Oreochromis niloticus: one gene and its partners. The protein of the gene in region 1 binds, or shares a complex with, the protein of each later gene. Links are inferred from orthologs where the notes say so. Each region holds a gene or a part of one and is shown in the gene's direction. Other genes may lie near its edges. The genes, in order: chchd3a, MICOS complex subunit MIC26, apool and micos13.

The links.
Region 2: chchd3a (region 1) and MICOS complex subunit MIC26 share a complex: the UniProt entries of both Homo sapiens proteins name them as parts of the mitochondrial contact site and cristae organizing system (MICOS) complex. The link is inferred for Oreochromis niloticus from reciprocal best matches to the Homo sapiens genes CHCHD3 and APOO.
Region 3: chchd3a (region 1) and apool share a complex: the UniProt entries of both Homo sapiens proteins name them as parts of the mitochondrial contact site and cristae organizing system (MICOS) complex. The link is inferred for Oreochromis niloticus from reciprocal best matches to the Homo sapiens genes CHCHD3 and APOOL.
Region 4: chchd3a (region 1) and micos13 share a complex: the UniProt entries of both Homo sapiens proteins name them as parts of the mitochondrial contact site and cristae organizing system (MICOS) complex. The link is inferred for Oreochromis niloticus from reciprocal best matches to the Homo sapiens genes CHCHD3 and MICOS13.

What each region holds. Positions count from the first base shown.
Region 1 is NC_031981.2:11,470,557-11,477,939, reverse strand, and holds the start of chchd3a (coiled-coil-helix-coiled-coil-helix domain containing 3a), read left to right. Parts: upstream 1-4,374; 5' UTR 4,375-4,549; coding exon 4,550-4,630; intron 4,631-4,693; exon of another isoform or gene 4,694-4,757; coding exon of another isoform or gene 4,758-4,835; intron 4,836-5,658; coding exon 5,659-5,898; intron 5,899-6,438; coding exon 6,439-6,499; intron 6,500-7,383. UniProt on the Homo sapiens protein: Component of the MICOS complex, a large protein complex of the mitochondrial inner membrane that plays crucial roles in the maintenance of crista junctions, inner membrane architecture, and formation of contact sites to the outer membrane.
Region 2 is NC_031982.2:27,116,931-27,123,533, forward strand, and holds MICOS complex subunit MIC26, read left to right. Parts: upstream 1-4,866; 5' UTR 4,867-4,953; coding exon 4,954-5,574; 3' UTR 5,575-6,102; downstream 6,103-6,603. Other genes in the region: dnaaf6 (dynein axonemal assembly factor 6), read right to left, coding at 773-902, 1,082-1,167, 2,619-2,715, 2,940-3,045, 3,146-3,212, 3,570-3,638, 3,812-4,096. UniProt on the Homo sapiens protein: Component of the MICOS complex, a large protein complex of the mitochondrial inner membrane that plays crucial roles in the maintenance of crista junctions, inner membrane architecture, and formation of contact sites to the outer membrane.
Region 3 is NC_031966.2:31,495,272-31,503,223, reverse strand, and holds the start of apool (MICOS complex subunit MIC27), read left to right. Parts: upstream 1-4,952; 5' UTR 4,953-5,060; coding exon 5,061-5,072; intron 5,073-5,690; coding exon 5,691-5,789; intron 5,790-5,868; coding exon 5,869-5,994; intron 5,995-6,540; coding exon 6,541-6,595; intron 6,596-7,495; coding exon 7,496-7,594; exon of another isoform or gene 7,595-7,622; intron 7,623-7,952. Other genes in the region: si:ch211-26b3.4 (connector enhancer of kinase suppressor of ras 2), read left to right, coding at 990-1,199. UniProt on the Homo sapiens protein: Component of the MICOS complex, a large protein complex of the mitochondrial inner membrane that plays crucial roles in the maintenance of crista junctions, inner membrane architecture, and formation of contact sites to the outer membrane.
Region 4 is NC_031986.2:33,823,076-33,830,828, reverse strand, and holds the start of micos13 (MICOS complex subunit MIC13), read left to right. Parts: upstream 1-4,749; 5' UTR 4,750-4,894; coding exon 4,895-4,923; intron 4,924-5,313; coding exon 5,314-5,470; intron 5,471-6,610; coding exon 6,611-6,668; intron 6,669-6,917; coding exon 6,918-7,015; 3' UTR 7,016-7,753. Other genes in the region: hydroxysteroid 11-beta-dehydrogenase 1-like protein, read right to left, coding at 727-820, 898-1,101, 1,251-1,381, 4,322-4,406. UniProt on the Homo sapiens protein: Component of the MICOS complex, a large protein complex of the mitochondrial inner membrane that plays crucial roles in the maintenance of crista junctions, inner membrane architecture, and formation of contact sites to the outer membrane.

The sequences.
Region 1 (7,383 bases):
CTAAATGCTGCATTAATACAGCTAATGTGTAATAAATATGACTTGGATAGCACTTTAAAAAAATTATACCACAGCATTTCCAAAACAAATTTTGGATTTTTAACACACAGTGAATGTATGTGATTCTTAAAGCAACACCAAATGATGCAAGCTAAACAAGCTATTTAGCAGAAACATACTGTTTTTGTGAGTAAAAAATAATGTCCTTGGCTCAGGAATCTATTTAAATGGCATTTTTGGATTCTAATTACCAGATGAGTCACTGATAATGAATGATAATAGCTGTACTAATTATCCTGAGAAAAATTCCAAGCAAAGATTAGAAGGCTGGTTGAACAGAGTAAGCTTATTTTCACATCTCAATTACACAACTTGGAATTTTCTAACAAAATGTCATCTCTGGGTGATTAAGAAGAAGATGTTTCTTTAGCTACCTGTTTCCATGGGAATGCGGAGGTGTAGGAGGGTGGGACAGTAAAACACTGAATCTATTTTTCACCTCATGATTAATTTCAAGATTTCTCATCTTCAAACAAAACACGAGCTTCGCATCATCGAATCATCTGGTCTTTTCTAAACAGACCACTCACCTCTGCAGAAATTAAACAAAGAGAAATTGAATTACCTAAAGATGGATCCCCAACTCCACTCAAACATCATAAGGTCAAGGTAAAGTATTAATACTGTGGGGGGAAAGGCAGCAATAATATAAAGGTTAGAAGAATAAAGAAACTTTTCTATTTGTGTTCACCTTTATATGTTGCTGGGATTACCCTTGAGTTTTGGAGCTCATCTTGTAAGGGAAAGATTTGCTCTTTGATGCAGCATGTTTTTCAGTCAATAACAGCAACATTGCCCATTATCTTGGTGCACCGCTGCGAATTTTAAAGCAACAAATGTTAACTAGCTCACATAATTGCATAAACCGATGCAATGGTGCAAAAAACAAGGTGGGTAATTACAGAGATTCTGTTTACATCTAGCTGGTATTAACATATGAGACACCTAAAAGGACGCTGGACATTGCATTTTCATTCTGCTGCATATGGTGAATGACTGAGCTATTAACAATAAATTAACCATATAAGCAAGGATCATTATTGCTCTGTATTAAAGTCAATTGAAATAGTAGTATTGCTTGCTACAATAATGCTGTGACTGGAAAAAAATGTTGTATTCAGCTAAATCTATTTCTATAAGCACTTCTTTCTACATAACCTGAGGCACTCCACAGCACGCCTTAAGGGTGCTGCTATACATTGTAAGTCTTTATTGCATAATGTGTTTGTAGTGGTGAGAAATGCCTCCATGGGCAAGGACAAGACTAAATACATTCTAATACCGAGTAAAATCACAGATGATGGAAAAGGTAGGTATTATTTCGCTATGTGATATATTATAAACCCATAGTAGCTACTAAAGTAGGTACAACAAGTCAAATCTACTCCAAATATGGTTGATTTATGCCAAATGCCTCACAGCTCCAGATAACAATCATATCCCAATCTTGACCAAACAACCTTTATTTTCAGTGTTGGAAAACCACTTCATAGAGTCTGTTGTGAAGTGATTCTGTCTCAAGATATTCCTCATAATATGAAGAGACTGATACCCTTTGCTGTAATTCATTCAAAAAAATCTTCCTACCGCTATATATATTTTCTTTCCTTTCCATTTTGCGATTTTTGTAATACTGTCTGTCATTATGATAAACTGTTTTATATTAAGAAATAATGTATTTGATCAAGGTTTATTTTGTGTAAAAGGGCTGAATGAACCCTCTGTGTATATCAAATTTCACAGTAATATCAGAGTATACACAGCCACGGTTGAATTTCCAAACAGATTTTCATTGATTTATGTTTGTACATCTGCAGCATATGCATTCCAGAAGACACAAAAACACCAAAATCGTCAGGAAACAGATTTATAAAGACTGTATTGCGTTATTGAGTGTATATAATATATCAGGTTTACAGGATTCCTATGAGCTGTCATTCCTCATAATATCCTCTCTTCTGGAGGCATATCAGATTTCCAGCTGTAATGTAATGTTCTCCAAGGCTGTATGAGTTGTTGAAATGGATATGGTATGTAGTATTTTTCAAAAAGGAACTAAACAACATGTGAATGAATAATAATAATAAAAAACTTTTTTATTAACCCTAGCTGTTGATTTAATTATGCAGTTAAAGTTTCATGTAGAACCCAAAATTTGACATTTCAGCATTTTTAACAATTCTAGCTGGTTAAAAAACACACACACCTTTTGTTTGTTTCTAAAGTCTGAAATGACCCCCAGAATACAATTTTTTTTAATACCTAATTAGAAATGATTGTGGTCTTTTTCTTTTTAATCTTTATTTGATAGGACAGTGGAGGGGAAACAGGAAAACTGTGAGAAAACCTATGGAAACAAAAGCAGTAAATGACCTTCGGATGGATTTCAAAGTTAGCCTTATGGCGTATGCTCAACCCAGCAAGTTGAGTTGGTGCCCCCGTTGTAGTCTTTTGTGGGATGACAGTCTACAAGAGCAAATCACGACTGCTTTTATTACATTAATGGGAACTAATTAGCCTACTTTGAGGTTGTCCCTGTCTATTCAGGGATGTTTAGAAAACAAATAGTCTTACAGATAAGGAAAATGAAAATTAACTACATTTATAAAAATACTACGATTGTTTACAAGAGGAAAGACAATGATATTTACCCTGAGAGAACCTCTTCAGAGGTAAATGAAACTCACTACCAGCATACATATGAGCTCAGAAGGAAAAAATCCTTCAGCTGATGCCATAGAGAGGAAACAGGACATGAATAATATAATATAAAGATCTTCTGGTGGAGAGGAGAAATTACAGTTGCATTAGTTACAGCAAGTCATCCGGGTCCTGAAGCAGCAGAGCAGCCCCAGACCATCACACTACCACCATGTTTGACTGTTGGCATGATGTTACTTTTTATGTGTTAGTTTTCCAAATATATATTCCCAAAGGTCTTGTGAGCATTGCTTTAGATGTTACTCTGTTTTTGTTTTGTTTGTTGAGTCATCAGTGCTTTCTTGGACAAATTTTGGTAGACTAGCCACTCACTTAGAGATTGATTAATAACCCTTTCCAGACTGATAGATATCAGTTAATGTTCTCTAATCTGTTCTAGAGTTTCTTTAGATTGTGGCATGGTGGGTCCCTTTTTGAGATGTTTTAGCCTACTTTGCTTGATTTCTTGATTCAACAGGTCTGGTAGTGATCCAACTTGGGTCTGGATAGTGAAATTGAACTCAGCTTTACAAAAATATCACAGTTAATTTTTTATTTTGTATTTACTCAAATATTTTTGTCTGATATTCGAATGTCTTTTAAGATGTGAAACATAGGAATAAAAAATATGCAAAATAAAAATAGAAGGACACAAGCACTTTTTCACAACACTGCAGATTATGTTAAAGATCCACATGTTAGGTTAATTTGTAATTCTAGGCCTTGAGTGAGAGGTAAATAAAGTACTTAAAGTGTATAGAATTAAAGGCTGTATGAATGTATGTTTAAATGGGGCTTGTAGAAGAGGTGGGCGGATCAATCCAACTATCGATAATATCAATACCAACCCTGGCACTTGTATTGGATCGATACCACTGCAATAGGATTACGATTGTTTCTGTCCTCTAAGTTCAATATGTAGCCAATTGTACTGTGTTAAATAAATGTGTTTTTTGGAAATGCAAAAAAAAAAAAAAAACCCTTAAAATATGCACCATGAAAAACATCTGTATTTTATGTGTTGACTGTCACATCTATTTTATTTATAGCCTACAGCACATTTAAACAACAGAAACTGACCCAAAGTGCTTAGAGACAGGCACATTTACACTCAGGGCTCCAAAAAACCCCCAAACCCTCAGTTTCAAAAAACATTAAAAGTTGAAAGGTATGTTTTGTTGTATTAACTAATGGTTGTGGAAAGTAATCATGCACAGTAAATCACAATAATTCAGTAGTTCAACATTTGAGAATGAATGATGATTCATCTTATAGATAATGACACACTGCTCTTTGCTATAGAAGCTGTCTCTATAGGTTAAAAGTACTGTTATGGTTATTTGCATATGCTGGCCCTGTCTTTACAAAATTTGCAGTACTAGCTTGTTGTCTAAATGTTTTGTGCTGTCAACTACTGACACAGTATGTTGTCCCAGATACACTCTATAGTGTCATATACACTACTACAGTTACAATACTGTAACAGCGACACAACTGACAGGAAATTATGACAGGCAATGTTGCGCGTCACTATCCCGCGCTACCACGTGAAATCAATAACCAATGAAAGTCGCTGTTGCATGGCCGAATGACGCTTCTGTCCAATCGACTCGCGTGTTCTTCAAATACGTCGAGTTCAGGAAGCGCTAAGAATCCCAAGCAGTGGTGAAAGTGAAGCCATCTATACCTGGCTTGAAGTAAACTGTCCAAAAATAAAAGCAAATTGCACTTCTGTGTTCTTACATGAGACACAGATAACTGACATTTGTTAACGAGCTGCCGTTTGACTATGGGAGCAAACAACAGCACCCGCCGCGTGTCATTTGAATCAGACGAGAACGACAATATAACGGTGGTGAAGGGCATACGGGTAAGTGATATGATGGACCTTAGTTGAACAGGTGTTACATGGCTGCCTTAATCCAATGCTGTGTAATCCGAAAGCATTCTGGAGTGGAAGTGCAGTCTTATGCTATCAAAAGCGCTACGTGGCTCAAATGACGCAGACTCCTGGCAGCCTGGAAACTTTCATTTATTTTCATTCATTCATGAAGCATAGAAGAAGCAAACGTGTGGTTAGTAACCCCTGCAGTTGCTTTGAGATTTAGTCTGAATAAACTTTTTATGGCTTTTTCGGAATGTTGACGTCACTTGCCTCGTGCTCTCCTGTCGGCTGCAAACGTATGGCTGTGTTGTAGATAATAATACCACTGATCAGCTGGTGATAAATACAGAGCAGAGCGGATCAGACTGTGGCTCTGTCTATTATTACTCAGTTGTTAAGCCAACGTGCCGAGACTAGTGCTATTTTGGTGCTTATCTAAAAATAATAAACACAATGTGTAGCTTTCTATAGGAGCAGCAACAACATAGTTAAGCATTTAAGGAATGCACTTATTTCTTATCTTACCAAGAGCTGCATCAGAAGATTGATACCATTTATACTTCAGAGCTGAAAACTGAATAGCTGAGCGTGAAAACTGAAAACAAGGCAAAACCCATGCCAGTCCATCCACCCCAAAAGTAAAAAATATCCCTAAAATTCCCACTAAATATTCTATTAACTTTATATTGTGTTTGAGTGAAATCTATAAATAAAGTGTGGTATTAATGTATACTTTATTGATCCCTGTGGGGAAATTCCTCTCTGCATTTAACCCATTCACCCAGTGAAGCAGTGGGCAGCCACTGGGCGCCCGGGGAGCAGTGTGTAAGGACGGTACCTTGCTCAGGGGTACCTCAGGGTAGCCCTTCAGTGGATTCAAACCCCTGACCTTCCGATCATGGGGCGACCACTCTACCTACTGAGCTATCCCCGCCCTAGCTTTATGCCTTTATTGTGATATCATCTTAATTTTTCATCTAAGTGTTCAACTTTTCTTCCACTCTACTTTGCAGCTTTCTGAAAATGTCATTAAGCGCATGAAGGAACCTGCAGCTCAACAACCTACTACCACTCCATCACCCCCAGCAGCTCCGGCTTCTCCTCTTCAGCGGCCAGTGCCTCCCCTTTTTGAGCCCATCACCTCCTTTCCTCCTCCCCCTCCTCCTCTTGTTGAACCTGTTGCACCTCCAGCTCCTCCTCAGTCTGCCACAGAGTCTGTGGCTGCACCTCCACCTCCACCTCCCGTAGAAAAGGTAACAGCACCCACCATTGCTGACATAGTTCCCCCATCTTCATTTCCCCCAGCTGCTGCTGTTGCTGCCGCTGGCGTTGTTGCTCCTGCTGTTGAGCCTGTAGCAACACCTTCTCCTGTTCCTGCTTCTGTTTTTGCTCCTGTTGATCCCCTGCTTCCTTCCCCCTGCCCTGCTCCAGCTGTAGTGGAAGTAGTCGCCCCGCTTGCTCCTCCTCCTCCCCTTGTAGGTGAACCATCTCCTCTTAAAAATGAATCCACTGCTTCCTCCCTTCCACTTGCTCAACCTGTTGCTCCTCCACATGTGGCTGAACCCTTTACTCCTTCATCTGTAGCTGAGCCTTTATCACCCCCTTTTCCTGTCAAGGCTGAACCAATCACCTCTCCTCCCCCTCTTACTGACTCCGAACCCCTCTCCTCCCCTTCTGTTTTCGAGTCTGTCAACTTCATGCCACCACAGCCTGCCAAGCCATTTGTTGCATCTCCCTTGCCTGAATTTAATGCTCCTTGTGAACCAGTTGCCCCTCCTCCTCCTCCTCCTCAGCCCAAAGTTGAACCAGTGCCCGAGTCCAAACCAGTCCCACCATCTCCTGCTGCATCAGTTGGTGAGTTTTTATTCCAGTTTTCTTCAAAAAAATCACTACTGGTAATACAAAAATAAATATATAAAGCATGCTATTATTCTCAATGTCAAAAGTGACCAAAGAATTTGAGGAAGAAGGAAGCTGATGTGGTTTGATTACTAACTTAAACAGCTAGTTATTCCAAAGATCAGACACGTGTTCCAGTTTTTATAGATTTATGCAGTTGTAATCTTTGACCTATGAAGCAGCTCTGCAAACTTCATTCTCTTCCCTCTTATAACCGATGGAAGTGTAGTAAAAAAACAAAAAAAAATTCGTTTTTGGGAGTGACTCATTTTATTATGAAATGTACCGGACACTCTTTACCTGTATGCTTAACTGCAAAGCCAAGGCTATGTGGGACTCAGCTGTCCATATACAGTGAATTTTAATGATGTTTATTGTGTGGGTGTTTACTTTAAACCACCTTAAGCTTTTTGCCTCCCAACTTTTCATGCAGATTGTAATCAGTCTTAATTTAAAAAAATGGGCCCCACAGTAGCCTCGGTCATATTGTGATTCATTGCCATCCCCTAACTGTTAATGAAATGATTAATTCTAACTTGTACTAATGCTAATAAATTGATGCTGTAATTAGTGGGCGATGATTCTGCCTCGTCACTGTGAAGCTCAGGCTGTCATAATACCTCCTTTACCTTCATGCAGTTTGGAAGTAAAATAGCATGATTATGAGGCTAAACTCGTGCTTTTTACTCATGTGGCTGTTATTAATATTTCTATATTAGTAATGGATCAATTAACACTTTATTTGAAAGAGGGACCTCCTAATCAACTTTTAAGAAGCCACAGAGAATAATCATGCAATTCCCCTTTGCTCTACAGAAGTTTATCCCGTCTTTCACGTC
Region 2 (6,603 bases), on another chromosome or scaffold:
GCACTGAGCTCTGGGTACTCCTGTATGGAGTTTGCATGTTCAAAACTCTTCCCACAGCCCAAAGACATTAATGAGGAAAGATTCATTGGTAATTCTAAATTCTCCTAGGTGGGACTGTGACTGTGAATCTTTTTTCAGTCACTATATATTAGCCCTGCTGGTATAGGCTCCAGTCCAGTGAAAAGTTGTATAAAATGGCCTCAAAAGACCTGAATTCAAAGATTAATTAAGCTGTTTACCACATTAAGATGTGTACACCATGGAAGTCAGTAATAACAGCTACATTAAGTTGTTGTATTGCAATATGCACCATGAATGGTAAATGTTATGCAGATAAAAGATTGCTTAAAAATAGATAGTTGCAGGTATCATGTTCAGTGTTCCTCAAAATAAGGGTTTCCCCAACCTTACACACAGTACGCTTGCATAATGGTGAGCAAAGGCTGAATACATCTGTACATGTTGTATGTTTTTTGTTTATTTTTATCAAATTTGCAAAAAATTCAAAGTAATTTTTTTCATGTTGTCATTGTAGGGTATTGGGTGTAGAAATTTCAGGCGAAAAATGAAAATAATCAATTTTGGAGTCAAGTATTTATTAGAAATCCACAATTTAACAGTCATAGAGGCTGTGATGACACAAACAATAGCTTAAACTCACAAAATTCATGAAAAAATTCATGTTTTTGCTGATTATTTCCCAATTCCTTTCTGGTTTTAATCCTTAATGTGTCAGTTTGTATAATGGTAATTGCTGCTAAGTCATCCTTTTTCATTGCATATTGATAAAATCCATAGGACGCTTCATTAGTAGAGTCACCTCCAGTTCCTCCCTCTCACTGAAGAACTGGGCCTTGCTCTCATTTTTGTGGACCGGATCAGGGAGATGGAGCCCCAGTTTGCTGAAAACAGATGGAAAGGCAGGTTACAAAAAACAAGTAGCACTCAGGGGGGGATGATATACTGAAAGACATTAAGAGTTGTGTGATAAAGCAATCAAAGCTCAGATCTTGGCATGCATAAGCCTCTAAGTCTTCAGGGAATTAAAAATGAAAGCTTACATTTTCAAAGGATCTCTTACTATTTTGGCGTCCGTAGATCAAGGAACTTTTCTTTCACATCCAGCACCACATCTGTTGCTTTAGTGTCTGGTAGTTTGATTTTAACCTACACGTGAGGGAAAAGTTAGCATCTTTATTATTCTACACTGTTCACATTAATATGTTGTTAGTTGTTTCCTGCTTTGAATATAACTTCTACTTCTACTTCCACTTTTTAAAGGTTAACACACATTACACGTGAAACATCCCAGTTTGAGACCTGAAACAGCTAGTGTACTATGTTGATTTCAAAGCAGGATAAATGGTTGCATCATGAAGGGCATCCAGCATAAAATGTGTGCCAAATCAAATATGTGGATCTGCTGTGGAGATCCTTCCAGTAGTTGAAAGTACCTAAATAGTTGCTGTAATTATTGTGCCATATCGGTGATTATTCCAGAATCAAGCATCTTACTATGACCAATCTAAAAGAGTGAATGGATGTAATCTCAATATTTATAAGTGTTTTAACACAAAGTATTTTAAATACAGACTCCAATTATTATTTATTGGAAATATTTTTACATATGTTTTAATGCATGCTCAATAATACAGGTGAGGAAATCCCAGAAAGTTGATTCTTTTCATTTGGATTTCAGTAGGAGAAACACTACATCACCCATCCAAGTGACTTTGTTAGTCTCAGCTAAATGCAGGTTTCTCGAACCTTACACACAGTACGCTTGCATAATGACTGAAACTAGCAGCATTGCTTAACAAAGAGCCAGAAGGTCTGTGAATAGTCCTCATGGCCACTGAAGAGTGGTCATGACAATGCGTGTTCTGATCATGAAAGCAATGGTGCTTCCTCTCATTATGCTACTGTATTGTTTATAAGTTTGGGGGAACCTGCTGTCAGCTGAGACTGAAGGAGTAACCCGGGTGAGTGATGAAATGTTTCTCCCACTGAAATCTAGATGAACAAAATCAGCTTTATAAATCTACAAACAAGACTTTTGTTTAGATTTTGTTTAGAAGATTGGAAGTTAAAGACAATGAAAAAAACACCCTGATCTATGATGTCTTCTTTGTAATTTGTTGCTGATCAAAGTATTGTAAGTCAGCAAGTCAGTTCATCTGTATTTTGGAGTGAAAATGATACCAACATACTAAAACACACAATTCCCTTAAATATACATAACATTTCATATTTACACAAAGTAACAGACAAAGACAATCTTAGCAATTTGAGAACATTTTGAAGTATCTGTCAGAGATCAGGTGAACAGTAGAGGAAAGATAAGCACTATTAGAAGCATTTAAATATTTTTTACGTATATAGAGCCTGGTCACTATAGGGTTAACCTGTCTCACCTGTGCTCCTCAACATTTTTAGACTGTTCCTTTCTAAAGTCTAAAACTAACTACGTCTTCAACAGAATTATCTGAAGCCAGCCAACATTTAATAGGAGATTCATGCCTTGCTGCTCTTGATCACAACCTTGTGCATTTCATTTTAGTATCAAAAAAGTGCACTGAGTGAAGTGTTAAGAAATCTTGTGACACTTGGCAAGTTACCAGCATGGCTTCACAACACATGGAGGATGGATCCTTTCTGCTTAATCCCAAGAAGAGATCCTCTGTTCCTACACTTTGCTTCAGGATTATTTCATACCTGCACACAGAGATTATAAATGAAGCAGACACACTAAAACCAAACACAATAAATATCACATTACCAGACATTACCTTGAACAGAAGGAGACTAAACTCAGAAACAGACAGTGTTTGAAGAAGTATGAGGACTCTTTTGAACCTTTAAATATCCACTTTTCATAACGTTTGATGCTTTTTTACATCCACTGTTGGTGTGTGTCTCTTTCTGCATTGCAGTCTTACTCAGGTTGTGGCCTTGGGTCAGTCAGATCATCATACTGTGAGCCTTCGGCCACTTCTTCTTCACACCAGATATCTTTGCTGTTCTTCTTCGTGTATGCGGTTGACACTAATTAAACAGTCACATAAAGAGAGAAAGGCAGATGCAGAAAAAGTATGTATGCTTGAATAAATACTTTTATGGAGTGCTTATAATTGAAAAATAGTACCTTGTTTTTCTTTTTTGGGTGGGGGGCCAATGTGTCCGGGACCCAAGCGTGCATATGCTTTCACATCCTGTTAACATAAACTAATATTAGTGTGGGGGAGACTTGGCTTAATGGTTACTGTAGTTGAAATACAATGATACATATTCTCTCCACTTTATTTTACTCCATATTCCCCCATTGGTCCTCCCTGCCTACACCTGCAGACTAATAAACCTTACACCACTTTTCTAAATACCCTAAAATGTATATTTTATTGAAAAATTATTTTTAAATGTTCATTTTGCTAGTGTTGATTGATTACCCTTGCTATATACATAGGATTAAAATTTTGCTTGTTGAAAAATGTAAAGAGACAACAATTTCCGAGGAAGATACTAAAAGCTAGTGTTAGCAGGGCTTTAACATGGATGCATGTAGATCTTACTTTACACTCCTCATCTTCCTCTTCTTCGTCCTGCTGACTGGACAACAAGGCAGACAGAGCCTGGAGGCTCTGTTCGGAAGATACCCCAAGACAATCCATTCAGAAAAACAAAACAAATAAACAAAAATAAAAATAAAAAGCGCAGCGGACACAAACAAGGAGGAAAAAGCTGCTAAACTATAAGCAACTATAACAAAACAATTATTTTAATTGGTGCTAGTATACTAATTTTAGCAGCTCACGTTTGGATTGTTGACGCTTTCTGTTTCCCTGGAGACGCCAGGCTTTCCTGCTGCCATGGAAACCAGTGACGTCGAACAAATTACGTGGCCAGAGTCACGGTTACGCAGATAGCCGTGAGCTAAGAAGCCTTGCCAGGGAATTTCTAATATAACGATCTCCTCTAGCTCTCTTTTTTTAAAGCAGCTTTGAGAATAATGCATACTGTACTGTATACGAGAAAAACTAGGCACTGAGAAAACAAACAAATAAACAAAAAGAAACAAAGATGGTGGTTTTAAAGACATGTTTTAGGACAGAGTTGTATAAGAATGAACGACTGCTTTATTAATGTAATGTCCCACTGACTATTTGAATTTAACTGAAAGGTAATTCACGTAATGGTTTAAAATAGGTGTCATAATTATGCCTGAATGCGTTAGCAAGATGGCTGCTGGGTGACTTTTATAGGACGCTGTTACAGGCTAAATGCTTGTACTGTAAACAGCTGTTAAAACTGTTTAAAAAGAAACATTGGAGAAAAAAAATAGTGTAAGTGATGCAAATACTAATAATTTAATCCAGTTTAGCCTACCTCAGGTAGCAGACCTTGCCTTAGCTTTGACTTTTACGTGGAATATTTGAGTATCATATTATGAGGGCAGTGGATCAGAACAGCAGATATCCCAGTTAGGCACAGAGGACTTTATTGTAGACTACTAAAATAAAGCAGCCTGCTTAAGTCCTCATTCTAACTTCCTATTTGAAAGTTGTCATTAAAAATATAGTTCGTATAGTGTATTTAGTTTACCCATACCTTCACAATCTACCTTTAACAAGTATGTTATTCCTTTTTTGCAACGTTATTGATAACGAACCCATTCAAACATATCCATGACAGGCAGTCAATTTATGGTGAAACAACGCTTTGTTTTTAAACTGCATATCTTTGGAGTTCCAAATGAAGCATGGTTTGGAGATGTGGGCACAGACATCATTACTATCTGTAAAGAAAGCCTTGTCCTCACAGATATACTTTATTCCTCCTGCCACTGTTGGCGCGCTTTCAAGAGTAGTAAAAGCGTTTGGGTGAGAATCAGAGAGGCGGGGCTATCTGCCTTGTCCCTCCGTGGATACCGTAGTGAATGCATGGCCCGCGGGGATCATGTTGAAGGTGACAGGTAGTGCCATGCCGGGAGCCCTGCGATTTTCACCGTTCACCGTGTTTGCTGCTGCCGGTGACGGCGAGAAGGAACCAGCGGTGGCGGCGGCTTCGTTAAACGTGGACGAACTGTCTCTGTACACCGCTCCCCCGGAGAAGTTTCGGTACGTGGAGCCTAAAGCGGGGCAGCTGGAGGAGCGAGTCGCCACCCTCAGGAAGTTAGCGGAGCCGTACACTGCTTGGTGTCAGGTCACCTATGAGAAAATTAAACCCAAAGTTCAGGGGGTCTTCCAGTTTGGGAACGACGCATACGCCTATGTGAAGAACCCCCCGAAGGACTTCTACCCCCGTGCGGGAGTCATCGGCTTTACCGGAGTCCTTGGCCTGGTTCTTGCCAGAGGCTCCAGGATTAAGAAACTCATCTACCCGACCACTCTCATGACCCTGAGCGCCTCTCTCTACTACCCGGAGAAAGCAGCGGCCATCGCAAAGTCAACCGGAGACTCCGTGTACGACTTGGCCGTGCAGAGCTACGCAGCGGCGGAGAAGATCCTAAACCCCCAGAGCAAAGCTGAGAAGGTCAATAAACCCGAAATGAGCAGCGACTCCGAGACCAAACAGTGATGACCCCGGCGTGACTGCAATAACCGAGCAGTAGCCAATCACACAGCAGCTTTATCCCGATACTGTAAACTGAGCGCTTTCTAGACAGCGTGACTTTTTCATGCCTACACTTTGCACTAAGCTTCACGTGAAACTCAGGCCGGGCAAAGGGAAGGGGGGGATTTGCAACTTGAATGACTTCCTTCCGATTTGAATGTGTATTTATGTAGAGATAAAGCAGTATCTTACATTAAAGTTGTTTTACCGCCTTGATTCTGTGTCCTGTAATGCCACATGCACAAACAAGATGGTCAGCACCAAAGAGAAGAAAACTAATTCAGGATTTTAATAATCAGTCGTTTATTTTAAGTTTTGTTCAATGGGGTGACAAAGACCAAAGTAGGCAAGTCGCATTTGATCTGAAATTGTGTATTAGTTTCAAGTTTTATTTGTCATATACAGGTAACAATTATTATACTCACAGATTTTAAACATATTGTATAAAATAAGTTTTGCTAAAAAGTCATAATCCTACATAAACTCAAAACATTTGTAGTACTAAGTACTCATTAGACCCATTTGCATTATACTGCTCAGTAATGCTCGATATCTCAGCTTTATATTTTAATGCTTTTACAGTAAAAACTTCAAAGTCATTCTAAAGCTTTAAAGTAAATGGTATGGAGTAGAAATGGCTAAAATACTGTTGAGTGGAAGTAGAAAACAGCATGACCCAGAAGTACTTAGAAGCACTAGTTAAAACGACATACACACCCACCATCACATCACCTACTAATTAGTAAAATCTCAGCTTTGAGTTGAACAATTTTGCTATTGCCAGCTTAGGATTTTGAAACTGGATACGCCAAAACAACCAGTGGTTCAGTCTGAAATTAAGTCCATGCTCATTGGTTAGCAACTTGTAAATAAAATGTTATTAGCCAATGAGCATTTCCTGGAAAATCATAATTTCTGACTTCTTGACCAGAACTTAGTAAATTTAATGTTTTATGAAATATAACTAGTGACTGAGCTCACAAATGATCAGGA
Region 3 (7,952 bases), on another chromosome or scaffold:
AGGATGCCAATGTTCACATTTTGGACAGAGAAGACAGATGGTTTGAAAGAGGAGTGAAAGAAGCCATTTATGTCCACTGTGAACGACCATCCTTGAACTGAGGCGGTGGTTTATGACACCAACTGTCTGCCATCTATAATCCAGTTCTGAGATCCCTTCCCAGACGCCTTAACGCCCACTCGCATCCTGGGCCTTCTGACCTCAGGAAATCACATGATAGGGTGGGGCTAGGTTTCACAATGAGCTCACCCAAAACCTTGGCTGCTTGTGACCTACACCCGTTTTCACATCTTGGCTCGTGTGATGAGGTAGAGGATCATCAGGGGGTTCTTTGTCCACTATTTGACCTTAGAACTGAAGGAGCTTCTCGGATGAGAGTTGAAACGTCTTCAAGCAACTTAAAGAAGTCCAGACGCTTTTCTTTCTAAGCTCCTTAGACTTAGTGTTAAAAGGGAGTTTTTCCTTCCCACTGTCGCCAAAGTGCTTGCTCATAGGTGGTCATATGATTGTTGGGGTTTCTCTCTATTATTGTAGGGTCTACCTTACAATATAAAGTGCTGTTGTTGTGATTTGGCGCTGTATAAATAAAACTGAATTGAATTGAATTGAAAAATAAAGATGTAAAAAAGCAAGATTTCCCCCCTTCATAATACGGCCCACACTCCGAAAAGTAAGATGCAAGATGGGGAAATAATGTTTTTCTGTAAAATTAACATAGAAGTACATATTTACACAATAGTTAAAATTACTTACAGTGTAAGTAATTTTCTTGACTGACATGTTACCCCCTTATTCTAGTCAACGTATTTATAGATAAACATACAGCAATTACATTGTAGTTTCAAATGAAATACATTGAATTTCCATTTAATTACAGGGGAACTACATCCTTTATCGCAGGGTCTATTATAAGTGTTACCAGGTCGTTGGTTTTTTTACACACAAAAACAAACGTGAGGTTTTAATGTGGTAACGCTCTTCTCCTACAGGCCAAAGAGTCGGAGCTAGCAGTGATCTGTTCCCTCCTGGAGGACCCTGGCCTGTGCTCCCAGACCTTCAGAGAATGGAAGCAGTGGCACGGCGAACTCTTCTCAGACATCTGCCAGCTCAGCCCCGGCACCAACGGCCAGGATGACCTCTCCCCGCTGGCCGCGCCTCTCATGACCCACACACACTCCTTCATCGAGACCCACGTGTGAGAAAGAGACGAGAAGCGAAGGCTGAACTGACACGCACACGCAAACACACACACGCGCGCAGTAACACGGAGCTTTACATTAGCTAACCCTCTGTCCTGGTTACGACTCTGAGCATGCACACACACACACACACACACACACACACACACACATTGTAAGATGTGTAAATATCATAGAGGGAACAGTCCTGAGACCTGCGTGTATGAACTTTTGATAATCCCGAGGACCCCACAGGGTGCCTATTGCATGCCTGAACAGAAAGCATTAATCTTCCTTTGTCTATGGATCTCAGCATAAACGCCACACGCTTGTCAAGCAAAACGGGGGGAAAAAAACAGACTTTTTAACACAATTTTTTTCTTTTGTATTATCTTGGTTTTGCTTTTGCTTTTTTTCTGCTTTATTTTAGGGGTAAGGGGGAGCTATGTAGCAGCAATACAGAGGAAAACCCTTTTCACCACAGCACTGTACTTTTGTACTGATGAACTTTGCACCCAGAGCCACCAGTTCTCCCCCTTTCTCTCTCTGTTTTTTTTTCCTCTTGCGTATCTTTTTGAGTTACAGGGACCTCACTGTTATTTCAGGCTGATCTCACGGGACAGTGCGGGGAAAGTAAAGTGTGAGACTGTGAGAGGTAGCCAGCAATGTCGGTTTATCAGCGAGAACCCCTTTGCGCTGGCCGGATTCATGTGCTGAAGGAGGCTCCTCTGAACGAGTGCAGTTCTGTTGGCATCTTCTCTTCCTCTCGTTTCTCTCCATCACCTTCTCTTTTCTTAGCGACTTCTTTCTCTAGTCCTCAAAGACTTGTGTATATGTGTATACTGCTGTGTATACTGATGTAAATGTTTGCGTTCCACTACCACTGTGATAGGCTTCTAGAGGTAGCGGAGGGAAGACAGAGAGTATGTATTTGTGCGGGTGCAAAACAAGTTTATTATTATTACTTTTTTTGGTTTCTTTCATAGTTTTTTTTCCTTAAACCGTGAATGCAAGAGCTTAGAGAGTTCTTTTTCAGTCACTCACTACAACGAATGCACTTTCTATATCTCTATATCTCATCGGCTGCATCACAGGGTCTACGTGTCATCGGCCTCATTACCATTGCTGTTCAAATATCAGGTAAAAGCATTTGCCGTCTCATTTTCTAAAGATTTGTGTACAGTCTACAAATATATTTAAACATAGAAGACTATATAAAATCTATTTACGTTTTGTGTCATAGATATAATGTAAAGTATGATGTATTCTATGCCAAGGTTCTGCAGTGTCCCCCTCTTCACTCTGTAGATGCAGGGTGTTTAGCAGTTGAGCAAATAGGAGGCGACCGACAGCCGTCGCTGATGGTCTTTACTGGTTTACATCACGGCTGACCATTCTCTGGGTGGTGCGTTGCATGAGACAGAGGCCTGGGACTGATTTGAATGGACAGGGTAAAATACTGTGGATCATTTGTGTTCCTTTTTTTTGTTCCTTCTCACAATTGCAAGATAATTAGACTCGTAGCGCAAGATAGATGCAAAAGTACCGTCGAAGGATGACTTTTTTTTTATGTGCTCGTAGCTTTCAAGTCTTTGCTTTTCATTCTGCAGTGTTTAAAGACACGTACTGTACCATGAGAATTAAGGGAGGTTTTTCCTCCTCCTTTAGCATCCAAGCAGCAGGTTATAATTTGATGTTTGGCTTACATAGAAGACCGACCTGCATCCTAAAGAAGCTTACACCTTACTCCAAGTGACATCACTGCAGTTGCTTCCAAAGTGAAAGCTAATTTGACATTCCCTCTAAGCATATGGTTGATACTGGGCAGTCACAACCTCTGCACTAAACGGTCTGTAATGTCTGTGAAACCGGGATGAATCATTTCATCCGCAATATCAGGCCAAGGACTCAACGGTGCCCCCCAGTGTCGAGGACTCCGAGAGACACGTGTAGCACCTGCTGCATCCAGCACTGTCTGTACTTAGTCTTCATATTTTACTGTTCTTCTTCATGAGTTTTCATCATGTCACACTGTAGTGAAATATCAAACGTGCCCCAGAGATATAGCTCATGTTATTTGCCTGTTTTTTGTTTGTTTTTGTTTTTTTGCTAGTTTGTTTTTTAATGATTAATTTGAGAGTAACACAAAGAAACTCAATGATGCAAGCACTTTCCCTGTGCCTCCCAATCCTCTCTTTGGCAACGAAAGGACTGACTATTTCCGCACACAGGCACGCACACACACACAGACACACACACGCAGCTGTAGAAGAGTTACAATACAGTTTTAGTCTGCAGACCTCTCTCTGTTTGTCATCTGTAGTGTTGGTCTTCTTTCTCCAACCGCTGCTCTGCCGAGCAGGTGACATACTGTAGATTAAAGGAGTTCTGAGAGTTTTCATTTGTAGGCACCGACTGTGTTATTCCTCCCGAATCTTTTTGTGTGTGTAAACCTGCAGAAACAGGCCGAAAAGGGAGATTCCACTGTGTGTTCTTTCAGGGGTGTACACCTCATGGTACATTGCACAGGTGTGTAAGATGTAAGTTGCACTGCGACATTAAAAAAAAGGAACATATTGCTCTTTTTCAAGGATAATATTAGCTTACTGTTATTCTGTACATTAAAATGACTAAAGATGATATTAAAAAAGAAAGAAAATTACATTTATTCTTCCTAAAGTAGCCTTTTTTGGTTTCATATATATGAATATATATTACAGAAAATACAGATTGTAAACCTAAGTTGTTAAACTTTGACTTCAATAAACTGAATCCTCTGCACTATGGCCGGTTAATGTTTGCCTTTCCTCTGATTTATTGAAAGAGTTTTGCCGTGTCTTCTAATTAATAACAGTTTCAAGTTAAGGGCAGGAAGCCCTATGGTATGCTGTGCAACCCGTGCCATCCATCTATCCATCATATCTTTGTCAATTTATAATGTGGTGGGCAAAAGCTTTGTTTCCAGGCTGTCACTTGGCTGACACACTGACAGCCCTTCACACTCACATTTGCACTCTTTTAAAGATAATCTTTATTCTGGATTCATTTCTTGGGGATCTATAGCCTTGTTGGGGCCTTACTATTGGAATGAGTATGTGCACAATTGCCTAAACAGATTCAGCATATGAATATAGAGAAGGTTTTTTGATACTGGAAGCTTCCATTAGTAGTCTGCTTGTACTCTCAATACTAATAAAACAGGTTTGAGCAGGCTTTGGTTGCCTGCAGGTAAATAGTCCAGGTGGAGAGCAAAAGAAGGATGCTGTTGAAATGCAAGACATAATCAGCAGCTATTCCTGATGTATTTCCATTTGTAAACAATGTTGCAAACCTTAGCATAGATATCTAGTGGCTTCACCGGCAACCCAAAAATTAATTCCTAGACTGATACTGTTTCATCAAATCCAGTGCAACATGTGCACCTGGGCTATTCTGGTGCAGAACTTTGTGTGTGTAGGTTGATTTCTGACTGAACACATCTTAAAGCTCTTGTGCACAAAGTTAAGTAGTACAGTAAATTTTCTTATATATATTCACTTCATTAAAACTAAACTAAATGTGGAGAAATCCTGTGGTGCTGGAACATGTGGCCCCCCCAGGGTCGATGCTGGCAATGTTTCAGCAACATAAATAACAACTCATTTACATGTGAAACTGCGAGTAGGAGTTTATTTTTATTTTAATTACACGTATGCAAATGTACAAAAGCAAAGGTCAACTGTACGCTCAGTGGGTGAGCAACATGTGGACTTAACTGACGAGTAGGATCGCACAGCCGAGCTGCAACTCCCACTTCAGCCCATTAGGTGGCAGTAGCCGACCGCGGAGTTTTTTGGGCTAGACTGAAGCTGTAACCAACAGAAGAAGGGGGAGAGCGCTGTCATGGCGGCCAAGGTGAATGCATGTCATTTTCTCTTCAGCAAAGTTTTTAGCTTTTATTACAATGACTTTTCAATGAAAGTGTAGGCTGTGTGTTGGCGTCAAGTGCCCCGTAGCTGCTAATGTTTACTTGTTCTGGTTGTCACCTCTCAGGCGTTGTTACGCTGCACGAAAAAGCTTTGCTAGCTATGTGTGCTGTGCTAGCTTCGCTGAATGACTCCTAAAAAGAATACACGGAGGAAGGTTTTAGCAGAGGTTACGTCTTTAAAAGTTTGCAACAGCTGTTTAACCTTAATAGCTGTCAGTCCTGCCTTTGTTAGCTTTCTAGAGCCACATTAAGCTACAACACAAACACAGTCGGTAAGGGTAACGCTAGCATTAATGTCAGTTAGCTTAACTAGTTGAAAACAGTTTGTACACACAAAACAAAGGGAATAAACTCAGGATGTATACTTAGAAGTTCATTAATGCAGTATAAATAAATATTTGAAAGACTGGAAAAGCGGTGGTTTGAAATATATTGTGGTATTATTATTAATTCTTCCACTCAAAGTCCACGAAGTAAGCTGTGATAGTGACGTGGTGTTGCTTTGAGCTGACTGACACTACAGTGTATCCCCCCCCCCCCGCCAGGTGGTAATGGTGGCCGTCCCGACTGTGCTGGGAATAGCCTCCCTCCGTGTGTACTCTGTGAATGAAGCGCCCGCTGATGGGCTGGTTACTCGAGAAAAGGTGTGTATTCATGATTTATATGGGATATTGCCATTCATAGCCATAATAACACACCAACTCTCTACCTCCCTTTCCCCAGCTCAACATCTACACCCCGGTGTTGCAGTCTGCTCAGGGTAAGTTTGTCCCAGAGAGTCCGGGGGTCATCGAGAGTGGAGTGACTACAGCCAGACAGACAGTACTACCATTTGTGCACACTGTAAAGGTATTCACGTTTTTGTTTTTTTTTGTCCCGTTGTGTACATGTAAAGCTGCATGTCGGAAAAAATCTCATTCACATTCACCGTCAAGTACTGATGTAGCTCATGCTTTCACATCCTCTTCTGCACTTTTAACACAAGCAGATGGTGGAAACATGTGTTTATATTTAAACGTATGAGAGCTAAAATGCACCAGAGAACTCTTATCTTGCACCTGCGAATTTAGTTGACACCACTATCTTTTTGCTGCTCATTGTGGTTTACAGAGCACAATCCCACATGCTGCAAGTGCTCGGTGCAGGAAGGATTCTTGCAGGTTTAGGAGTTAGACAGGAAACTGTGTTCATGCAGTTTAACTTCACAATGTGAAGTTACACTGCATGAAGTTTGCTGCAAGAAGATTTGACAGTTTGATTCTGTGAAACACGGGTTGTTGGGTGGGGGTGAGCAGTTAGCACTGACTCACATGTATCTGTTTCAGTGTTGCTTAAACAGGCATGTTCTTGATGAACTTTTGTAGTGGTTTCAGTTTAGTCTTCTGTTCCCTGCAGGGTGCCTGTATCTCTGTGAAAAGGGGAAGTATTGATCTTTACCATGCTGGAGAAGGTGAGTAAACAACAGGCAAACAACAGTCTTAGTTACATTGCACCTAAATATAAAATTTCAATAATAATAAGACATTTAAAGTTTTCAACATGTCACAAATTTACGAAGTAAATATATTTCAAGGGGTGCTATTGATGTGACATTCTCACCAGGTATCTGTAACAACCCATCCATTTCACACATGCAAAGAAATCAAACCACTGATGTCCATTAATTATGTGTAATAGCGAGAAATGACACCGGGAAAAAGTATCAAACGCATGAAAAGGGTGGTGCAAAAAGTTGTGGAAAGTCATGACACTAGATGAAATCAATCCTGCCACTTGTGCAAAGTGCAAATTAATATCAGCTGGTTCATCACCAACTGATGGCCTGTAAGGAGGAGTCTCATTACTAAGGTGTAAAACCAATGAGCTCTCTCAAGGCCATTGCAAAACATACCGAAGAATTTCTAAACTAGTGAAGGTTCCAGTGAGCAATCCCAAAGTGGAAAGAACATCATGTCACCATAAACCGACCATGACCAGGTGCCTCCTGCAAGATTTCAGACAGAGGAGTGAAAAGAATTATCAGAAGAGTTGTCTGAGAGTCAAGCAGCCCTAGATAGGTGCTGCATATCACCCCCAAAACACCATACCAACAGTGAAGTTCAATACTGTGTGTACAATACTTTCTCCCTGTGTCATTTCTCATTATTACACATAACTTAATTTATGGCCATCTTTGGTTTGATATCGTGGCATTTGTGGATTGGATGGGTTGTTTAACACAATCTGGTCAGAATTTCATGTAAATAGCACCTTTAGAAACATATTTAATTTGTGATGTATTCAGTACATTTTTTTAAGGAAGCTGAATGTATTTTTGTCAGTATCTTGATTTCTGTTATCTGCTCCTCAGATTTATACTATTACCTGAAGGACCCTCCCCCTGGTTTTCTGCCCAGATTTGGCACCATCACCGTGGCTGGCCTGCTTGGCATGTTCTTGGCACGGAAAGGTAACTCGACCTCACAAACAGTTTAGGCCTGCAAGAAACGTTTTAATCAGTTTCTCGTATTAAATAAAGGAAAATGTTTGAAAGAGTGTTGGTCTAAGTGTGAACGGTTGTCTCTCTGTGCCCTGCAATAGACAGGTGACCTTTCCATTGTGCCATATTACAGCCGGGATAGGCTCCAGCCCCATGTGACCCAGTAAAAGCATTGCATACGACTATAACAAATGTGGCATACGCAAACACTGCACACACAGCAAGATTTTGCTAGTAAGCTTTTTTTTTTTTTTTTTTTTTTTTTTTTAATTTGTTCATTTCAGGCACAACAATAAAGTTGAACATAAAGTGCACAAAAAACAAAAAC
Region 4 (7,753 bases), on another chromosome or scaffold:
CAGGAAATCGACAGCTTTGCTTCTGCGGTCAGCTTTGTGGTCACTTTCATGCTCTGGTGGGTATTCTTCAACTTCCTACCAAAACTTAGGCTCCTTCCCCAATAAAGATGTCCCCACGTCCCTTACAGCAAAAAATCCTGGCACAACTTCACCTGCTTCCAAGGTGCATGGAGAAGATGAAAGAATTAAAAAAGCAGGAACTCCAGCAACACTTGAGAAACGAAGAACAGCTTTAATAATTGACCAATGCGTTTTGGCTTGTGGCCTTCATCAGGGTCCACGTCCCTTACACCAAAAAAAGCCAACAACTGGACAATCAGTACTTCTGACTTTGACTGGCGCCCAATCCAGAAAACACTTTCCCTCTACAGATTCTCCTGCAGGTAGTTGACCCATGGTACAAGACCATTTTGGGCTTGTTTTAGTTGAGCTCACAAGAACTTATGGCCCAGCCACCTGGTGCACACAAACAAGCTCCAGAGTGGGTTATCAACTCTTGTCATCATAATACATTAAGTTAATCTTAATTACTGTATTACCATCACTTATTTATCAGTTGCAGTAGAAAGTGTCTTTAAAAAAATGTCAATTTAATTGTAATTGGTGGGTGAAAGTATTAGGAGGTATATATGTGCACACATACAATTTGTATTTTATAGTTTGTCATCATCTGCATAAAAAAGCATAAAGTATAAAAATGCTGAAGAAGTATAAAAACAAACCTACCTAAGAGCGATGAGACAACAACCAGTGATCCTTTATTTTGCTCAAGGGAGGGCAAAGCTTTCCAGGCCATCTGAATATAGCTGAAGAAATTGACCTTCACAAACAAACATTCATGAATCAGCATAGTCTCTCCATTTCCTGTTTTGAATGACCATCAAAATGCTCTGTTACCTTCATCAGCCATTTGGTGTGATCCACATCTCCCTTCCACATGCTGAAGGGGCTAGGCCCAATGTGATTGAGGACCAGGTAATCCAAACCTCCCAGCTTCTCCAGAGCATAATCCACCACTTTGTCAGGGTCAGACTCATTCGCCATGTCTGCTGCTATATAAAAAGCTTTCTGGGCTCCTAAGCTCAGACACTTTTCTACTACCTACAGGCCAAAATCATTAAAAATGCACTTGGTTAGTTTTATGAAAGAACTAAAGAATGTCTCTATTCATGACTGGCACAAAACAACAGAAGTAAATGGCAATCTATGAGCAGAATTTCAACCAATAACCTGTTATTACGTAAACTGACCTGCTGTAAGACTTTCTCCCTCCTTGCTGTGATAACAATTTGGGCTCCAAAGCGGGCGTAATGATACGCCATTTGTTCACCAATACCTGTACTGGCCCCAGTCACCAGTACCCTAGCCCCTTTGAGAGAATCTGAAACAAAGTTTTACCGTATTCAACATGGAATGGAATTGTTTTAATACATGAAAGGTTTATAGAAACAATAAAAATATGTGTTATTTCTATTAGTCAACAATAAATAGAGTAAATGACCACAGTAACTACTGCATACATTGTTAATGTGTCTAAGCATGCAGAAAAGGTTTTTAAGTGAACTTGATGACAATGAAATAGTTTAGTTTATCTAGAATCATTCTTTAGGCAGATATATACCCTAAAAAGATAAGCTAATCTTAGTCCTCCATTAGAGCTGGGCGATATAAGATTTTTTCATATCACGATATGTTTTTTCATTTCAGGCGATAACGATATATATCACAATATAAGCCAAATAACTATATTTGTAAGATTTAAATGTGCCGTTGCTCACAAGTAAAATGTGAAATAATCACCAGCTTGTTTTGATTTAAATATTTATTTCCCATAATAAGTTCAACAGGGTAGATGTACTTAAGGAACATGAGACTTCAGTTTCAGATAAATAAAGGCAAATATTACAAACTACACAAAAGGCAGCCGCTAAAGCGTTTAAGTTTCAAAATAGAACAAACAAAACAGACTACTAAATTGTCAGTTCCACTTAGAAACAAAATATTAATTCTAAAAATAAATCTTAGTTTGTTTTACAGACGAACAGACAAAATTTACTAACTTTTGTCAATATCAAATAAACTGAGAACTAAAAGGAAATTCTCAATCTCTCCTTGTTGTATAGCTTAGCTTTTCAAACAGTTTTAACAGTTACTTTAGTCTGACAAAAGCCGAATGACGAATTAGCGCTTTCAGTCAGAGATTGAGCATGCACCGCTTTATTGTATTTCCAGACTTGCTTTCGGCACAATTTACAGTGCGTGCTACTCTGTTTTTTGTCAGACTTGAAATAGCCGAAATACCTTCACACTACGGAACTTCTGTGGCCCTTCCGTTCGACAATCTCTCCGGTATTGGAACCATCATCTGTTTTTTCTTCGGTAACCTTCGCTCACGCTCTCGGTTGATTTTTCTCTAGTCAGCAAACTCATTTCCTTCATTACCTGGGCAGCCCGGCTGCAAAAACAAATATACATGTGAGCCTTGGCACTTGTGCTGTACGTATCAAGTCACGTGACGTGACGCTGCAGCTGTGATTGGTTCGGCTCTGCGCTACTTAATTTGGATTGGCTGTTCTTTTTTTTTTTTTTAAGAGGACAAGAGAGATGAGGCCTATCGCAATAGTTTATTTTTTCTATCGAGAAAAAGTTATTTCGCAATACATATCGTTATCGTTCTATCGCCCAGCTTTATCCTCCATATATTGCTTCAGGTCAAAGGGCATTTGAAACTTTTCCATCTTGAGAAATTGCAAAATGCATACTCTTCATTTGGACTAGTAAAATGCTTGGATATTGTGTTTATTTATTTATTTCACCAGAATTTCCATGCTGTATTTTGTTTTTGAAGGTCCCATATCACTCGTTTGTTGCTTTAATTCTTTGCCTGGTGCTATGAACATTTAAATATCCTGCAGGTTTAAAAATTTTCACTCCCCATGCTGGAGAATGGAGCCATATGTCAGTACCCTTTTCCTCTCAAAGGTTTAGCTAAATGTGCAATCAACTGCATGCTCTCCCTCTCTCTCTTATTCCACTTCTTATTCCCATGAAGGGTTAGGGTTCATGAAGCAGCCATTCAAACTGCATTTTATTACTAACCAAAGCAAACACAAGGCATCTGAAACAAATCGTCCTGCGCTGTCGTACATTTGTGAAATATAGGCATTTAAAAAATGTGGTATTTCATAAGGTTACAGTGTTGCAGAGTAGAGCACATGGGATATGCAAGTATACATAACACTAGTCCACTGACATGGACCGCATAATTTCATTGCTTGTGGAAAATTGACTCTACAGTGTGTTCTCAAAATGTGAATAAATGCAGGATTCTCTCTTTGGTAAGGCCTTGGTCACAAGCGGAGAGCAGAATATCATCAATTACTCGCTCACTTTGTGCTGTTTCTACTAATTTTCTTTAACAAATCATTAAATTGTTACTATTACCTTTCCAAGTTGGCAGTAATACCCACCCACACCATAAAACTGCCTTTTATTTGTTAACAATGTGGCATGTATTAGATCACAAACCTTTTTTTTTCTAATATAAATTGTTGGCTTAATTTTTTCAGATTTTATGTATCCTTTTTTTAATAGCAAAGTCTGACCTGGCATTTTTACTCAGAATTCTGATATCTGCTGTTGTTTTTGTTGTTTTCCGGGCCTTCTGTACATTGTTTTTTTCAAGAATGTAACTGGTAATTTAAACATTCCTGTGGTTTCTGGGTTTATAGCTCATGTTTTTGCTTTTTCAGCCTTTGATTCCATCATTAATTCTTCGAAACCCATATTGAACATGCAAATTGATTTCTTGGACTCAACTTCAGACCTTTTATCTCCTTAATCTGGCTACGCCTGGCCATAAAGCCTCATATAAGTTACTGGCCCGGGTGCTTTTGAGCTTCAAAAATTAAATCAAATATTAAAAAACATCAGTTTCGGGGTTGACTGCACATGTGATAGATGTCTATTAAAAACAGACTTCATATGTATAACAAACAATGACTATATGACTATAATAATGAGGTGTTACCAGATACTAAGTTATAACTACGACATAACCGAGTAGGCTAGCTAGGATTCCTGCACATGAGTCTTCCCTTTTTCATGTGAAACCTTCATTTTTAAGTTAAGTAAAAAAGTGTGACTCTATTTAGCTGTATTTACCTAATACATTGCAAATGCATACCACGCATATGTTTGGACCACTGTAGGCCCAACACCTATCACATTATTGTCTGCTGGACAAACCTGCATGCCTGCTGCAAGTTTGCAACTAAAAACAAGCAAGTACTTTCTCACAATGACAAAGAACAGAGTTTACCGGCATCAAATCTGGGTGAAGTCCATTTGGCAGCCAGGAAAGCAACACATATACTAGCTAAAAGAACTTTTGTGACAGCGCCCATTATGACAATTTGGTAGCAGCTGAGCGAAAATGCTAAGCTTTAGAAGTTTCTGCCAACTTTCACAATCCCAGTTTGAGAAAACAAAGTGCATTTTATGCAACCCACTATTTCTCCCCTCCTTCCACTTTGTAAGGGGCGGGGGTTGGTCAGACTGGCCTGCCCTTTTTCATGGACACAAATCATTTTTTTTGTTACTTTAATGCTTTTAAAAAATCTATATATTTTTTTAATTTACCAAAGCCCCAAAATCTTTAATTTATTTGCCTATAAATTTATAGTTTAAAAAATCAAGGCTGACGAATCTGCGCCTCCGAAATTACATCCGCCCTGACTTTTGAAACAGCAACTTTATTTACACAACACTGGTGCACACGGATCATCAAGCAGGGTTGTCCTTCAGTGAAGCTAACCAGCTAGCCTGATCTACGGCTCATTGTCGGAGTTCTCGCAATAACAGCTTCTTAAAGGAGAATAGACCGCGCTGAACGATGGCGACGAGGATTTGGCCTGTTATGAAGTTAGTATTTTTATTTCAACTCCCGCGGTTTCGTATACTATCACTTGTCTAAATGCTCTTATTGATAATTAAGCTAACTTAGGCTAAGCTAGCTGTCAGTCATACCAGGTCATTTTCAGTTGTTTTCGTTTTAGCTCCAATATTAAGACTTAAAATATGCTTTTCTTTATGGAGTTTAACGTTGGGCTGATATACTAACTTTCTGCAATAACGTGAGTTAATGTGGGCAGTTGTAAATTTCCCAACTATTAACTGATAACTTAGCATCAAAGAATAATTTGTTGTTTACTTTGATAATAACTACGTGTGTCTGTAGTTTCAGTTTGCCCTGTTGGGAAATTGGGGTATTTCAGATTAACTGCATTACTGCATCTGTTCTTTCATTTCCAGACTGGCCACCAAGGTGACCATTGCAGGAGGAGCTGTCTATGTTGCCTATGACTCTGGTCTCTTGGGGAACAGTGAACAGGGCTCAGAGGCTCTGCAGAAGGCCAAAGCAGTAATCCCACCCGCCATGGAGGAATGGATGAAGTACTTTGGTGTGGAGGTACAAGATGCACGTCATAAACAACTAGGTCTTCCTGGATCAGTGCCACTAGGCCTAATACAACATAAAGTAAAATGGTTTTAAAAAGTCATTGCATTAAATAGATCAGTGCTGCAGACAGCAAATTTGATGACTCATACCATAAATGTGTAGAAATTTCTTTTTGCTTTCTAGCCTTTCTCTTATGAGATCAGAAACGCTCTAATGAATACATAGTTACAGTACAATCATGACATCATAAACCTTTGTGAGGCATGTACTTTGATTCGTGGTAATGTATGCTGCAGACCTAACTAGCTCTGGAGCAGGTTGTGGTCTGGGTTAGAGCTCATCAGGTTGAAAATATAGTCAATAGCAATTCTAACAATTCTTCAGATTCTCCTGTGTCTTAAGTCTGGTAACTGAGACTCACCAGATTTAAGACTAAGACTTTATTAAAGTAAATATCTTTTCCAGCATTACTGACCAAAGTGCTTAAAGTGCTCATGCTCATACAGCACTTTTAATACTACTGGACTGTCCGTTTCTTCCCACACACACTCACACCACTCCTTTAGCTTCAACACTGCTGTTGCTATATGCCTGTATTATTTAATCTTTTCAAATTTTTCAGATATCATAGTTGTAGCTTTGTAAGATCCACCCATGTTTCTGACTGGTCGACTGCTGCCAACATCTTGCTGAATACACTCACAGCTAGATTTTTTTAACTCTGGCTTGGCTTAGTCGATAAACACCTTTGTAATTCTGCTCATCATGGTTCTCAGTGTTATTTTAATTGAAGTCAGATAATGGAAAGATATCCAGGAAATGCTGAAATTGCTTCATAGTACAGGTCCTAGTTCTTGCTGACAAATCAGTTCAAGTGATTAAAAAAAACAAACAAACAAAACAAAGAAAAGAAGCAAGAGTATTTATCCATTTCTTACTTATGATTTTATTCACGAACTCCAACAAGCAAGTTTTCACTTGAAACAATGTACAAATGTGTCTCCTCCTCATGATTTTATTTTAAAACCTGATTTGTTTATTTATGCATTTATTTTTTTATTACTGTTTTGCACTGGACAGAATAGTAGTTGTATTGTCCAGTTATAATAAACACTAATGCAAACTAATGCACCTTATCCCTCTTGTCAGGCTCAGCTTCCAACCATACCTAAGATTGAGTTCTCTCCTGTGGACGCGTGGAATTCTGGTAAGAATTCAATTATTTGTTCCTTTTTTAAAAAAGCAAGGGTAAAAATTTACTGTGGTCACAAGTTTTGCACAGACTTTCTGTTGTGTATTTCACTTGTTACATGCAGTAATAGTTTTAAAATTGTTTGGAGGCAGTAGTTTGTTTTAAAATAATTTTGGTATTGGTATTACTTTTGGTCTAGACCCTATATTGACCCTGATTTTTCAGTATCTAAAACCCAAACTTCTCTTTTTTCTTTTGTTGCAGGCGTACGGTGGACGATTTCAAATCTCTCTGAGGCCCCGACAAAAGCCACTGAATACACAAGTCAGGGGCTGCAGTACTTGAAGGACCTCACAAAGTGAACATGAACTCTCTGGGCAGCCTCACATTATCAGTCCTTTTGACTTTTGCACTTGACATTACTTCTTCAAATGTTGAACCCTGCCATAAGAATGAAGCAACACACAACGTCAAAGAAAACTGCTTGATTAAAAGATTAAAAGCAAGGAGTGTACTCTGCTGAATGGGTACTGTGGTTTTCTAACTGATAGTGGCCTTTGGTGGGAGATGTACATAATGGGAAGAAAATTTTATTTTTAAGAAGGCAATCTTTCATTTTGTGTATACCTCAAAATTGTGTATACCAAATAGTTGCTATCAGCACTGTCCAGTAGAGAGTGTTATTCTGCCCTCACCTTGCCCAAAAAATGTTAAGAATATCTGTATGTGTGTGTATATATATATATATATATATATGCAATTTCACTATTTGTGAGCAATATATCAATCTTAAAAGATTTTGTCTCATCTTTAGTTTGATCTATCAAGTCATATAACATAAAGTGCTCGGTCGACAAAAAGACCATACAAATGTGCAAAAATCTTTATTAATCATGACAATAATAATGACACAGTTTACTGCTGATTCTGCTACAACTTGAAAAGAGGGGGAGATGACTGAAAGCGTGAGGAAGAGCACACGCAGCCATTTATGATCGGTTGACTCCACTGTACACGATGCAGACACACTCCACAGCACCGCGAGCGGTGATGTTTAGTGTCATCCTTTTCTTTTATTTAAATGTAAGAAAACATTACCC